Linked DNA regions of Lepisosteus oculatus. The protein of the gene in region 1 purifies or fractionates together with the protein of each later gene. This does not show direct contact. Links are inferred from orthologs where the notes say so. Each region holds a gene or a part of one and is shown in the gene's direction. Other genes may lie near its edges.

What was found.
Region 2: the proteins of exoc3 (region 1) and exoc8 purify together in Homo sapiens (affinity purification with mass spectrometry; 5 studies listed by BioGRID and IntAct, counting the BioPlex papers as one, with this or other methods). This does not show direct contact. The link is inferred for Lepisosteus oculatus from reciprocal best matches to the Homo sapiens genes EXOC3 and EXOC8.

Annotation. Positions count from the first base shown.
Region 1 is NC_090701.1:3,226,770-3,234,775, forward strand, and holds the start of exoc3 (exocyst complex component 3), read left to right. Parts: upstream 1-4,988; 5' UTR 4,989-5,534; intron 5,535-5,560; exon of another isoform or gene 5,561-7,184; intron 7,185-7,969; 5' UTR 7,970-7,978; coding exon 7,979-8,006. UniProt on the Homo sapiens protein: Component of the exocyst complex involved in the docking of exocytic vesicles with fusion sites on the plasma membrane.
Region 2 is NC_090697.1:55,327,103-55,335,083, forward strand, and holds the start of exoc8 (exocyst complex component 8), read left to right. Parts: upstream 1-4,958; 5' UTR 4,959-5,101; coding exon 5,102-7,156; 3' UTR 7,157-7,981. Other genes in the region: DNA-dependent metalloprotease SPRTN, read right to left, coding at 1-165, 2,146-2,274, 2,977-3,076, 4,136-4,449. UniProt on the Homo sapiens protein: Component of the exocyst complex involved in the docking of exocytic vesicles with fusion sites on the plasma membrane.

The DNA of each region.
Region 1 (8,006 bases):
CTCCACAAAGGGGAATTATAGACTTTGAGCTGTGTATGTTGCCAAGGATGGTAATGCTTGCCCAGGTGTGTATATTTGGATTGAGGTTAATTCACCTTGGCAGAACATTTCATACCCACATAAAGCTACTGTTTTTTATGCTTCCTTTCAGTTTCTTTTTTGAGCTTGCACTAAAGAACTGGATAATGAATCTTACTGCTACCTAGACATAATGTCGAATTGACATGCACAGGTTTGATGTTTCGCATTTTAAAATCATTGCTTTGGTTCTGTTTTATGTACAATATCATAATGTGTCCAATGTTTTGTATTTATTGTCAGCAACCTAGCAGAAATGTTTATTTAAAATTATTGTCTGGGGGCTTTGCGCTATTTCATATAAGACAAAAAGGCAGAATTTCTAGTCTTCCTTTTCCTAAATATACCCTTTAAGATCAATACATTAGTAAATGAAACAAGCTCTTCAGCTAATCTTGTAGCTGCAAAGCAGCACCTACAATATGTATTGCAGCATTTTCTCAATAATATTTTGTGTGTATTTTTTTGACAAAACTTCAATAAAACTTTCAGAACTGATAGAGTCATTTTGACGTATTGCTTATCTCACGAACAGAGAGGAAGTGACAGACTTTTAAAGGTTGTGATTCCAAAAACACTTAATGACAGTAGATCCTCATGATATTCACTACTATTTGTACCCCAAGGTTTGTACTCTGTTTGTGCACCTTCTGATACACCATGGAAACACAACAGTTTTAAGTTGTACAGCATATCAACAACTCATTGGGCACATACGTTATGTTATTTACATTTTAAATGAAATTAACATAATGTATCTGTCTTTACTGGGCAGAGAGGTTTGATGATCATTTCAGTATTATTATTAGTATTCCTTGAAGAACTTGATTTTAATTCATGTAGTTGAGGTATCTAGAGTAGATTCCTCCTGGTTAAAGAAAACTGTCTGGTTTCTACTGGCATGATTAAAAGTGACTAAGACAGACGCTGCCCCCAAAATTTAGATGGTCTGTTTCAACAACTTTCAGCGGAATAAACAGGTAACTGGCACTGCGCAGGACAGGCCACATACTGGGAGGCAGAGAGTCACCAGACTGCATGTCGTTCTGACCCACCTATGTAATCAGTTTTTAGGTGGCACAGCTACAACTCAAGAGCATCCTTGAAGAAGAATGACTGTAGCTCACAAATCTGCATGAAGATTATCTGCATGCTTGGAGGGCATTCAGGGCTCACAGGTTGACAGCTGGGAGACTAAATCGCGGTTCTCTGTGAAGCCGAGAACGTGGGGATGGAGACCGTGGGAGTGTGGGAGTGTCGCGTTTGCCCGCGGATGATGTTTGGCCCTTTGTTAGACCTGGCGGACGGCGAAGTGTGTGCGATGTCATGTTGCGTGTGGTTCTGAGTGTCTGGACTAGGCAGCAGAAGCACGACGATGTGGAGAGGAATCTGCTTCAACACAAGAACGCCCTCGGAGAATACTAGTCAGTCATGCTGCCATGCTCAGACCTCATATTCTAATTGTTCAGGGCTTCAGTTAAAATAAATCTAGGAATGTGAACGCGTTTGATGACATAATTGTTAAGAAAACTGGAGTGATTAATGCACAACTGTAAAAACAGGATTTAATGACTGCACGGTTTCTGAATGCACTGAAAGCCTTTTTTTTTCCTCAAAGAATGTTTCCAGTCTTTTATGCCAAGGAAAACCACACTTACACATACATTTTCTCTTCTTTTATCTGTGATAATTGTAAGATCCCTTTAATCGTACCTATACCGAAATGCATAAGCAAAACACAGAAGTGCAATAAGTTCGGTCTGTCACCGTTCTCGACTCGTCAGGTGTTCACTGGGTCTCTCACGAACTGACCTACAAAAGAGGAACCGCGTTGTGTTACAGGCAGTTAATACTGTCGGCGCTCTGGTTCGTGTTGTTCAGAGAGCATACCAGAAGATCACACAGCAATCAATGCTTCTTATTCCCAAGTGCTATAAACAGTTTAAAATAGGGTCATTACAAACCAAATGCGTTTTAGCGGAAAACGCCACCTAACTTGTCTTGGGTGACAAATACCATTTAAAAAGCAGATCTCTTCATTCATTGAGCAAGGGTCTGGTGCCAGGTACTGTACCTCTCACTCGGTGTCCTTTCCAGCTCATGTAAATATCCTGAGGTAAGGTGCGCGGAGAGGGTGGAGTTACTGTACGTGTTTGCTCATTACAGAGACCAGGATAAACTCCGGCATGGCGAACAGCAGTAGTTTGCATATAAAACTACTCCTACCCCGGCAAAGTGTCATTCCGTTCAAAAGGGGTTACTTTTGATCCCACATGCTCCTCGCCCCTCCGGCTGCCTGGCGGTCCCACTTCTGGGAAGATTTCAGCTGGAACACCTTCAGACACAAGCCGAGAGTGATGTGTTACATGTCAAAGAATAAAATGCGTAGAGAGACTGCTTGCTCTCACCGCACAAAGAATCTTGATCTTTATTTAATATTATGAAGTTGAATTACCCCAAAGTCTGGCACGAAAATGTGAATCCGACTGATTCTAAAGATCCTCAACGCGTTAGGACTTCGCTTCGATCAGATCACTCAGTTTTAGTTCTCAAAAGAAGCTTGCCAAGAAGCAAATGGTACTGTACTGTACTGTACGTAATTGGATTTGAACATGAGTTCCTTAAAAGAATACATAATTTAAAATGGTCAGGAAGCTCTCTGACAAGGGCAGAGAATCTCACGCCTCAGAACATTTCCACACTGAAGATATTCTATGCAGAGATCATTTTTAACAAACATTATTTAAGTTGTTTGCATTTATTGTATTTCTAAAGCAACAGCTACAGACCTGCTGCACCTTTTTAAAAGTGAACCTGATTTATTCAGGTTTCTGGAGGGTATTCTAGATAGCCTCGCCGCAGCAGCTAAAATACTGTACCCACAATTCACCAGGTTCTCTTTTAAGCTGGTGATGCTTAGCCAGACTTCACGAGAAGAGATGGACAGGCTCTGATTTGAAATTTCATTTGCCATTCTATGTTCAAGTTGGGTTTGTTGAATGACACTTAATCCCTCAGATTACAACTGGCATGCCAGGTCAAAAAAACAAACAAACAAACAAACAACAGTACCCAGTACTATGGATCAGTGACTGGGATAAGCCCTTTTAAGATGATTAGTGGCAGGTTTAGGAAAAGAGATAAACATATACATGACAAGCTGACAATACCTTCAATGGCCTATTTTATTTCAGAGCCCACTGTACCACAATTTAATGATTTACTGTCTTTTGGATCCTGGAATGTTTTATTTAGTAGAGACTATCATGTTTTATTGGAAAATACAGCAAATACATTAAATAATGAATCCTAATCATTGTCCTCACTGGATCATGGACTAATAACAATTGATATATTGTACTGTCTCTCCAATTCTCTTGTGAAGTCATTTATAAATATTGTGAATAACCCATATAAATATTTTACTTTTGATTTACATAACCTGATGCAAATATTTCTAAGAGACAGTTATACGTTTGATATTTATCTTCAGTGTAACATATACATATAATGTGTAAATCATTGTAAAATTAAGGTGTAAGGGTTTGCATTACTGTAAATATTTTGCAAACATTATTTTATAAAACAGTCTACAATAGCTGCGTAACAGCTTTTAAACCCCATAAACCTTCAACAAGATTGTGAACCCTAAGGTGTATTATGTTCACAATCTTGTTGAAGGTTTATGTTTCAAGCAATGCTAGGGAGCAATATTTATCTAAAAAGGAGGTGAATGTTGCAGTTGCCGACACTCATGAGACTCTTTAAGGAGTGTACAGTAGTTTCCTGCATTAGACTCTCTCCCATCTTTTCACCACTTCCTGCTGAGGCTTTTCGTTTGGAAATGAAACCCAAATGAGATGAAGCCCACATCTGTAGGAACAGCGCCTGGTTTGTGACAAATGTGGTGTGAACTCTGATGGGGAGGTCCCTTCACACGACTCCGGGAATTGAAAACTGTGCTCTCGTCGCCTTCTGGGAAGCTTTCCGAACGGAAGACACCTCCCGGATTCGCTGCAGTCGGTGGAGTGGTGCTGATTACTGCATGGTAAACGAACAGCTGGAGTTAGCTGGAGTTAACGCAGGACAGCTCAGGACAGGGCAAGGGCTGTGCCAAAGGCCACATTTCACATCCTGCAAACAGCTCCTGCCAGCCTCACCCCTGACATTGCTCACTTTCAAGTGAAAACACCACCAAGGACAACAGCCCATGGATTTCAAAAGAGCAAGAAACCTCCATGATGAAGGAAGAAACACCACGATTCAGCCATTGAACCTTCTCCAGGTGTATCGGTGTTTTGTAGGGTGTAGTTAACCTTTTCTTCCTCCAGTACGGAGTAACTCAGCCCCCCCCCACTCAGACAAACAGTATACTGGATTTCTAAGCATTTTAGTAATGAACGTTAACTTAAACATGAAACTGCATTTAAGAGTGCACATGAATAATGGCAATAATGATAGTGCCCTTTGCATTTTAAAAGTATGTTAAAATTAAAAGGTAGAGGAATTCCTCAGTGGCGGTAGGAGCATGAACAAGCTCATAAAAAACAGAAGCAGCTAGTTCGGGCTGAAGATGAATGCACTTTGCACAGAGACGTGGTTCTTGAGGTCTGTGAGCTGAACTGCTGAACTGCTTAGGAGAAACAGTCTCATCGGACTGTGGGTCCCTTACCAGATGTGTGCTTCTGCACGGCGGGTGTTTCGGTACAGACTGTTACCTACAGAAGACGAGAGATAACACCACTGTCCTGCACAGATGGTGAAGGTCTGGCAAGGGCATTGTACTGTCACCCTTGTCATTGAAACAGTAAGCCCATCCCAGCATTCCGTTCAATGTTGTTGGCGGTTTAGAATCTAATATTGTTGATTTTGTTTTAAAAGGTGGACTGTTACTGATTTGTCCCAAATACAGAGTTTCATTCTTTTATGGGCACCAAGTACTCAGCTCTAAGGTTTTATTTTCTTTTTGGTAGCAGGTTTTAGGGAATTTTCGAATGACATAAGTGAGAGGCTAGCTGTCAGATAGCCATGGTAGCAAATCAAACTACATTTGTACAGTAGTAGAACATATTATGCTGGAGCTCGTTTCTCAGCGTACTGAAGTTTTAAAACTATGTCGTGTTAGCCATAAAAAAAATCGCAGAGGGCAAGTACATGTGTCACTTGGTTGGCCTTGGCTCGAATATTATATAGACTATACTGTCCGTGCACTGTATCTTGAATTTTTGCAGTCTTTGTTGTAGGAACTTGAGAAAACTCCAACTCCCAGAATGCAAGGCAACCCGAATAGGAAGTTGTGGCAGTCAGTTGTGGCGAGTTGGGCGGCGTACAGCGAACCGCGACCGAGAAGGGTAGTTTTTATTTTGTGATCTAGAATATGGGATGCATTTATTAATGCAGTCTGTTTAACGGTGTGTTTTCAACTCCCTCGGAAATCACTCACAGGTAGGTGCGCGGTGAGTCCCTGTTTTTACCGTCGGGAGGAAACGAAATTGTTCCGGCTGTCACCTGGGCCTGTAGATATTTTTCCATTTGCCGTGCCTGGAAACTTGCTGTCAGATCCTGGTTTTGGGAAAGGCTTTTGTGGTTGTGCGTCTTGCGGGACAATCGCAGCACGTAGCGCTCAACAACACGCAGTTCTTCGCATAAACAGACGAAACGCGCAGATGCTAGCAGTAATAATACAAGCTTAAATAAGAAATAATGATGAAACCGATTTGCATACGGTACTTGAGCACCGTGCTTTGACGTTTTGCAAAGAGAGGGCTTCTTTGCTAAACTCCTCAGATGTACTGTTTACATTTACAGCCAACTCTTATTAATTGCTTCGGCATGGTAGAGGTAATTGCTTATCTACCGGATCGAAATATATCAGATTTGTTGATTAATGTCGTGGTGGATTAGTGCTGAAAACGCTGTTAATTCACATTGTTACGGGTGCAAGATGCTTTCCATATTAAGGGCAAAGAATCTCTTGTGCACGCAATTTATACGCATTGTTGTGCGTGTCAAGTACTTTGCGATTGTGTGCACAAAGTAATGTTTGCAATGATAATGTTGGTGTGTGTTTGCAAAGTGTCAGTTTGTGTGCGTACGGTAGTGTTTATTGTGACACGGTAGTGTTTATTAGTAGGTGGACAAGTACAGGTTACCATAAACCCCTGGCAATCACATTGAAGGCACATACATTGCCAAGCAGACGTGTAGAATATGATTTCTCATTTTGTGTAACAGTGTGCTGCCAAGTGCACATTGCTTGCTAAGAAGACAGAATTGAATATACACTCATTTATTACGTGTAGAAATCAGTGTATTGCAGACTCCATACCCTTAACCTGTCAGGTGGACAGGAATAAATGTATTGAAACAGGCACTAGCTGAGAGAAAAACTTTCATGACACTCAAATCAACCACTGAAGTGCTTTGGAACTCTCTGACCTTCTGTTTCTGGAAATGTCAAACTGTTGCGTGCGTTGTGGTTTTGCTTTTTTCAGGCACCCTAGAATTTTGTCCGAAATGGAAATCCTTTTATTGTGCCAAGTGGTACAAATTAGAAAGGTTTGAAGGAAAATCAGAAACCAGATGTAACAAAGTGGAAAATTGTCTTTTTTTGTTTGTTTTTTTTTTATCTCGGCATGACCGAATGATTTTCTTTTGTCTTTAATCAGGTGATTTAACATTCCTAAATGGCTGAAGAGGTTTATTTTAGAATTCAGACACGTCATTGTACTTGCTGTTTCACAGAGCCCACACAACTCTAATGTTTGAGAAATATTCCAAAAACTGAGAGTTTAAGTTCTCAGGATGATTGAATCCCCAGGGCCTGACAGAATCTTCTTTAATTGCACTCGTGGAAACTAGAGATGTTTTTCAGAAGCCATGGATGCAGCTCTCCCAGCCGTCCCTGAAGACAGGGGAAGGAACCAGGGACTGGAGAATTGCTAATAACATGTCCATCCGTAGAATTAGTGAGAAAACTGGAGTAAGACAAATATGTTTGACTTCTGTTGCATGTAGGGTTAAAGAAACTATCATTTGACATAAACTAGTGGATTGCCTATATGGAATTAAGTTCCTAAGGGATAATCGGCATAGATACAGAAAAGGTAAATGAGAGGTTTTGGACATTTGGAGGAAATGTTTGTGTGTTTAATTTGAGAATTGTTTGATAGAAGATCTAGTAATTGGTGGAGTACCACAGGGGTCTGTACTAGGACCACTGCCCTTTCTGATTTAGAACAAGAATCTAGATTCTGATAGAGTAAAGTAGTCAAATTGGTGCCGTTGATACAAAAATGGGAGGATCAGCAAACAAGTAGTTCAGAAGGGCTAGGACAGTTCCTGACCATAGACTCTGTCGCTAGAGAGCTAGTAAAGTCTGTAAATCTGTTGTCTCTCAGGCCTATCTCAGCTTTGAGAGGAGGGCGGAGGGGTGGCTCTGTGGCTCAGGATCTGTGCCTGTGGCTGGAAGGTTGCTGGTTCAAATCCTGCAGCTGGCAGAGGAATCCTACTCCGTTGGGACCCTGAGCAAGGCCCTTCACCCTAACTGCTCCAGGGGCGCCGTACAATGGCAGACCCAGCGCTCTGACCCCCAGCTTCTCTCCCTGTCTGTGTGTCTGTGTCTCCATGGAGAAAAGCTGGGGTATGCGAAAAGACGAATTCCTAATGCAAGAAATTGTATAGGGCTAATAAAGAAACATTATCATCACACATTATAGCTGTGTGAGGAGGGAGGTGGTTGTTGGGATTGTCAGTATCACTGGCGATTATTGAAGGTACCTCGCGTGGGAACGTCTGTTCTTCCTGTGTCGCTGCTCGGCTCCCCGCGCCCCAGCCCCAGAGCCCGGTCCGCGGCTGGCCCCGCCGCTCATAGCGACTCCTCTGCTTGCAGGCGGCGGCAATGGAGGAGACGGACAGGGAGACGGTGG
Region 2 (7,981 bases), on another chromosome or scaffold:
GCATGTTTGCTGGTGTTGATGCCACCAGGGGTCTCGGGCAGAGGGGGCTCGATTAGTCGCACGCTTCACGTACCCAAAGAAGGGCCGGCGGGTCTGGCATGGGCCGTCGCAGCGCCACCAGTGTGTCCGGTACAGGTCCACCTCATCATGGAAGCTGTGGTAGATCTGAAAGACACCGCGGAAATCCATCAGCACTCGCCGATCATCCAATTTTGCCAAACTGCCAACCCCTCCCCCATGTGGCATGGCCGATATTGTGAAAAAATCCAAAAATAGGTTATAAAATCTAAAGTTCTCCTACTGCATTTCAAGCTAAAGTCTGTCTCCTGTCTCATTCTCCCATCCCGTGAAGCTGGCTCTGGGGTCAGAATGGCATTTATTATGGCACAAAAGAATAGGAGTCATACTCATCATGGGCCAATGCACAGGTGTCCACTGTTGGGATTAGCTGAGACTGGAACTGTTTTTACCTGCCTTCCTGCTAAAGAACATAAGATCAGTTATAACTGAAAAGGTACTATATTGGATCACCCAGTTCATTGTTTTTTTCAGTAAAAGGTTCACAAGGTTTAGCAAAAGTACTGGAACTAGGCAAATGCTGCAGTTTGTCTTCTTGCTTGGAAGCTCATGTTTTACAAGTAAAACCTGCTTTCCTCTCTTTTTTGAAATTGACATGGATAAATCTAGGCACTTGAAAATGTCATCCTAAAAGCAGTGAATATTATGAATAAAAATGTGAAGCTTTACAGGATAGCCTTGTGTGTTATATTTGTTCAAGAACTTCACAATCACTCTGAATGATTGCATCGCTTAAGATCATTAAAATAATCAGAAAAAACTGAAAATAAAATAATGGTTATGTATTGAAAAATGCATTGTGCAGACCTAAACAAATTTAAATGTCATACTCTATATACTATTGCAGCCAACAATAAAGTAATATGAAGAAAATGTAGTTCCTTTATTCAAAAACATTAAAATAAAAAATTAAGTGATAACTGCATAATACACAACAGAACTAGGCAAAAATAGAATATTCCTATATATTTATAGTAAATATACATATTCCTTTGATTTATTAAGAGCTAAATATAAAGCACATAAACATAACATGACAGTTTTGCAGCAAAGAGAAAAGAATAAACTAACATTAAGCCACATGTCATATCTGGGGTAATATTATTCCATCTATGAACTGGCTTCATCACTCTGTTCTCCTGCCCACTGATAGCTGATGTGTGGTGAGTGTCCTGTGTGCTCTATGGCTGCCATTACATCATCAAGGTAGGGGCTACACATTGGAGGTGGTGGAGGGGAGTCTCCATTACTTGGAAAGTGCTCTGAGCAGAGCAGCCACTTGAAATTCTGTAATCCTGTAAGGATTATTATAATCATCATCATCCAAAAACCTGGCACACCACCTTATTAGTTCCATGTTTATCCACAGGGCCTATGTTACCATAGACAGAGAGGTCAGATGAGTTTCAACAGATCTTCCCTGCCTCTCTATATCTGGGGTAATGGGCACTTATTTTACACATTTTAATACATTTTGGAAATATGTGAGGTCTGTGTTGAGCTATATGTGGGATAATATCATCCCCCATCTCCTGAGATATGAAATAACTCAATGCTCTTGACTTTTAATGCTTTACAAATTAGTTTTCTTAGCAGCGATAACTGCAGCATAAAAGGCTATGGCATGATATGTAATAGAGCCTGATTTCTTTTTCTTGTGTTTGGTCAGGATGTTTACATGATAATTTGCTTCTAGAAAGAAAGCTTGGCAGCACCCTGTACTTTTTGCTACAATGTTGGCTTTGGACACTGCTCGTATATCTGATGTTTCATATTGATTGTCTTAGTACCTTTTGCTCCCTGTTTTTCTTTCTTTTCTTTCTCTTTTGTTTTTACTTTTGTTCTCTCCCCTCCTCAGTGGGGCTGGGGTTTAAATAAATCCAAGACTTGTTCAAGAAAAAAAATCAACGTTATGACTTAAGAACAAAACCTCACTGTGGTGTTAACGCAAAACAAAAAACTGAAATAATTTGAAGGACCTTTTAAATAACTGATTTTTATTTTTGAAAAACAAACTCTAATGTTGTTCTTATATAAAAAGTGCTTTCTTCCCCATCAGTCACCTACAGTAATGTTGGTCCCGCTGGCTTTGTTGATCCTGTTCATATGCTTGCAGAACTCTGGTCCATGTCCATCCCGATCGCGGTTATTTTGAGTGACAAAAAGCAACGCATGGATCATCTCATGTAAGAGCGTCTGGAAAAAAACACAAATATTCAGTCATACTCATGTCATGAACTTTTAAAAAAATAACCTTTTCTACTTTCTTAAGTTCAGTGCACTGAACACTTTTCCAGACATGTGACAGCATTGAAAACTCAGAGGGAGATGCGTATTTACTACCTACTGCAAACAAATGCCTTGACTTAATCACTTAAGTGTGTAATACAGTGAATGTAGGAATTTAATAGGAAATTTAGAGTGGTAGTATATGCAGACTGGTGAGGGCTCAGAAAGTATAAACTGAATGCATCCTGGATTCACGTGAGCCCCATTAAAGACCAGCTGGATGAGCTGGGACAAAGTTTGGCATCTAGGGCTCAGAGACCAGTGAACCAGCCCAGTGATGTGTGTCTAGGCTCTTTCAGAGTAATGGGACACAATTGCACAAGACAGCATTAACAACCTGGTCAATAAAATATCAGTGCACCTGATGGTAAGGGTTGCAGTTGTAAGGCTTATGTTTCTTTTGATGCTCAGTTAACTTGTTTGGCAATAACGACAAACTCAACTTGTCCTTTCATTCACTTCTAAGTAAAAGTTACTGGATTTCAGAAATTCAGAATTCAGAAATTCAGAAAATAAAGAACAAGGGCACAAGACTGTGGGGCTTTGTTAGTTTAGCCTTGGAAATTCCACAGGTAACGCAAGCCGATGCAGCAGACCGGCAGGACTGACCTCAACCAGGTCCCGCCGCGGTCTGAGCTTCAACAACGGTTCGCTGAGGCGGATTGAGCACAGGCCTCCTCGCCCTTCGTATGAGCACACACCTGCACACCTGTGGCAGGAAAACAGCACCTTTCAAACCATCCCGCACTCCCACTTCACAGCAGTTAGAGCCATTTCAGATTTTAGGCTCCGTGAAGGGTAGGATCTTGCAGGATATTTAAAGCTTGTCACCTTATTTAAGGAAACTGCAGAGACAAAACTGGAAATAATAAATTCTAAATACCCTGTTTACACACACATGCATATCTGATTACTTGTGTCATCAGTTTCATTTATCAAAAGCATACAGCTCACAAAATCTGAAATGGATCAGACTTGCATACAAATACAAATATGTCTACCCCTGCATCTGAGTAAATAGCAGTAGCCTCAACTTGTATAACTCCGTCATTCCCCCAAAAAACTAGGGTATTTTATGAGAAGGGAAAAAAAAACTTTTGAAATGACAGTCTAATGTTTACGAATCTAAATATCTGGAAAACTAAATATCAAGAAGTACTCAGGACTATTCAAGACTATTCAAGAGCTAGCCTAATTTTTAACACTTGTCCTACTGTGCCTTAAAGTGCGCTCCACTCCAATAATAGTAATACTAATATATAGTACTGTATATACAATAGATATAGGAATATTTAATATTATATAATTATATAAGCGTTATATTCACAACATGAGAATCAGATAAGACTTCTTCCAACTATGTGGCAGACTTTTACAAACGCCAATCATCCACACAATTTAAACGGATTAAGCAGAAAGCAGATAATTTTAGTATTTTAATTATCTATGCACATAAGAAGAGCAAAAAAATACTCGGTAGATTTTTAAAGCTCACAAAACCATACATGGATCGAACTGCTAATAAAACTCTTTAAAAAAAGTCTTACTTTCTTTTTAAAGGAGTTTAAATCTATCATTAGCTACAGTTTTTGAAATGTTGAAATATAAACGTGGGGTATGAATCTGTTCGACATTATTTATCACGGGTACTTAGCGGAACGACTATGAAATGCAGTAACATCATGTTGGAATATAAAACGTGGCAGCGGAGCATCTCCAGGGTATACTGGATGTCATTCCCAAGCAACGGAAAAGTTGGGTGGCTTACAGTGTCATTCGTGGGCTCCATTTCACCTCCACCCCGGCCAGTCTGCCCCAGAAGAACATGTCGTTGAACTGCAGGAACATCGCCCTGACATCGGGGCTGGGGTCCAGCATCTCCCACGACTCGTCCACTATGGACAGCGGTCTCTCAGGTCTAAAAGAGGACCGAGGGTAAGTAACAAGCTCATCACTGGTTTCCACTCTCCTCTTCTTATTTTGAACGTAATCGTCATCGTCGTCAACGATGGAGACGGACGCTTCTTGATCAAATTGGTCCTGTAACTGAAGAGCTAGCAAGAAATCCTCGTCCATTGACATCCCAATACTAGCACTGTTCACTGAAGCTAATTACTAGTTAGCTATCGTCAAAGTGAAAAAAAAGTTAGTTTTCCCCATCTCTATTTCTTGTGTTTTTTCAATGAAGACATGACGGCAGTTTCATAAAATCATTGCTATTCACATAAAAGTGTAACATCTTATCTTTAAAAAACAAACTTAACAGCCCGAGTGTATAAAACCAACCACCTATGTTGAATAAAAAATGAACAGCTGCTATATTGAACTGCATGCTGGGATACGATTACCCTCCCTCGTCTTCTTCCTGTATATCATTGTCCTACTATGTACTTACTCGGAGTTCATGGTGATAAATTTATTCCAAAAAATATGATAATGGGAGATTATCTGAATTTTTAAGAAAAAAAACACACTTTTGTTGAATTATTAAACTATTTTTCTTTTTTTATTACACAAGGAACCATATTTTTATTAAATTATTGAATTCTGTTTTTTGTAGAGCACCTCATTGTTGGCCACCCAGAAAAAAAAGAAGGTCCTATGATTTCACTGGGAGTTGGTCAGTTTGTTATTGTAAGAGGTTTCCGGCTGTTTCCGTGAAATAATTCGGACACGCAGTATAAACATAAACCTGACGAGTTTTTTTTTCACTAGTGATACTGTGAAAAGGGAAATGGCAGACACTGCAAACAGACTACGTAAGCAACTGGAATCGCCAAATTTCGATCCACAGAATTATGTTAAGCAGCTCTCTCAGCAGTCAGATGGTGACAGAGACCTGCAAGAGCACAGGCAAAAAATACAAAATCTGGCAGATGAGACGGCACAAAACCTCAAGAAGAATGTCTACAAGAATTACAGACAGTTTATCGAGACTGCCAAAGAAATTTCTTATTTGGAGAGCGAAATGTATCAGCTCAGCCACATTCTAACCGAACAGAAGAGTATAATGGAGAGCATCACTCAGACGCTGCTCTCCACGGACAAAGATGAAGCTGCGAAGGAAATGCTGGCTGCCTTCCCGAAGGAAACCGAAGAGTTAAAGCAGAGAACGCTAACAACACTTCTGGAGAAAGTAGAGGGCTGTAAAAACATTATGGAGACCCCTGGAAGGTATTTAGTTTATAACGGAGATTTGTTGGAATATGATGTTGATAACATGTCCCAAATCCAAAAGGTTCATGCCTTTTTGATGAATGATTGCCTTCTCATTGCTACTTGGCTTCCCAACCGACGGGGTGCAGTGAGGTACAAGTACAACGCCCTGTACGACCTGGACAGCTTTGCTATAGTCAATGTGAAAGACAACCCCCCCATGAAAGACATGTTCAAAATCTTGATGTTTCCAGATAGCAGGATCTTCCAGGCAGAGAACAGTAAGATTAAGAAAGAGTGGCTGGAGATTCTGGATGAAACCAAAAAAAATAAGGCAGTGAAGGAGAGGCACAAGAAAGAGGAGGAGACACCCAATTCCCCAGTGCGACAAGAAGTGTCAAACAACCCTTTTGATGAGGAAGAGGCCATGGGTTTGCAGGAGACTGTGGACTTGAGCTTAGAATGGATTCAGGAGTTGCCAGAGGATCTAGATGTCTGCATTGCACAGCGTGACTTTGAAGGAGCTGTAGACCTGTTGGACAAGCTGAATGAGTACCTGAAAGACCAACCAGTGAACCAGGCCGTCAAGGAGCTGAGGGTCAAGGTAGATGAGAGGGTGCGGCAGCTGACCGAGGTCCTGGTATTCGAGCTCTCCCCAGACCGGTCCCTGCGGGGTGGCCCCAAAGCCACACGGCGCGCAGTTTCCCAGCTGATCCGTCTGGGCCAGTCCACCAAGGCCTGTGAGCTCTTCCTGAAGAACAGGGCAGCTGCCGTTCAAACAGCCATCCGTCAGCTGCGTATCGAGGGTGCCACCTTGCTGTACATACACAAGCTCTGCAACATCTTCTTCACCAGCCTGCTTGAGACCGCCAAGGAGTTTGAGATGGACTTTGCTGGGAACACTGGGTGCTACTCCGCATTTGTGGTGTGGTCTCGTTCAGCCATGAGGATGTTTGTGGATGCCTTCAGCAAGCAGGTCTTTGATAGCAAGGAGAACCTCTCCACTGCTGCCGAGTGTGTGAAGGTCGCAAAGGAACATTGCATGCAACTAAGTGAAATTGGTCTGGACCTCACCTTCACCCTCCAGTCTCTCCTAGTCAAAGACATCAAAGCTGCCCTTCACAGCTATAAGGAGATCATCATTGAGGCCACGAAGCACCGCAACTCTGAGGAAATGTGGCGCAAAATGAACTTGATGACCCCTGAGGCCCTAGGGAAATTGAAAGAAGAGATGCGCAACTGTGGGGTGGGCAGCTTTGAGCAGTACACTGGTGACGACTGCTGGGTAAATCTCAGCTACACCATCGTTGCCTTTACCAAGCAAATGATGGCCTTCCTGGAGGAAGGGCTGAAGCTCTACTTCCCTGAGCTGCACATGGTGCTCCTGGAGAGCCTGCGGGAAATAATTCTGGTTGCTGTTCAGCATGTGGACTACAGCCTGCGATGCGAGCAGGAGACTGAGAAAAAAGCCTTTATCGTTCAGAACGCATCCTTCCTCTACGAAACGGTCCTTCCTGTGGTGGAGAAGCGATTTGAAGAAGGAGTGGGGAAGCCAGCCAAGCAACTGCAGGAACTAAGGAATGGGTCACGAATGATGCGCGTCAACCCTGATAGTACAACCTCTCTAGTGTAAGAGGACAGTTTTCCAACCCATGAACAGAATTTCACAGCGCAATTCCAGTGATTGCGGGATTTCATTGCTCAGGTCGCGTGTCGTGGGAGCTGGGTTTCTGCTAAGAGAATCAGTTTGTGAGCATTAGCCAGTTGGAAATGTAACTTATTATGTTTAATTTTCTGTCATTGCTTTTGCAATTTCTTTAAAAAAAAGAATGACAGCAGTTAAGGTGATGTTACTTTCTCTGCTTAAATTCTTGAAGATGGCTACATCAGCTGTATTGAACTTTGATTTTTTTTTTCTTTTCACTTCATACTCATCTCTGTACAGCATGTGAGGCTGATTTCATTTCCTTTTCTGGTTCTGCTAAGGGATATATGTCATATAAAAATACAAAAAGACAAAATTGCCTTAAAAGACATCTCTGAGCTGATAGGCAGAAAGTGTCCAGGGTGAGTAAATTACACTTATAGAAAGTTCTAAAATCACAATAATCTTATGTCTGCCAGCCTCCCCTTGCTGTGGGTATTTCTTCAGCTTTGAAAAGTATTTCTTGTCAAGCTGTTTATACTGGAATATATACCTGTTGTAGGGAATATTCATCTAACAGTCAGAACCTTTTACATTTTTTCAAATAACCGCATGGAGGAGAAACAAATTGCCTAATTCATTTTTGCCAAAGCATTCATTGGCTAACAAAACCTCAAATTAAGTCTTTTCATTTTCATGAACCCTGAAATGGCATATAATGCATGGAAATAAAAGTGAAATTATTAACTCTCTCTTGTGCCATAGCGCTTTACAAATATGAACTAATTTTCAGAAAAAGAGATTATGCAAAAT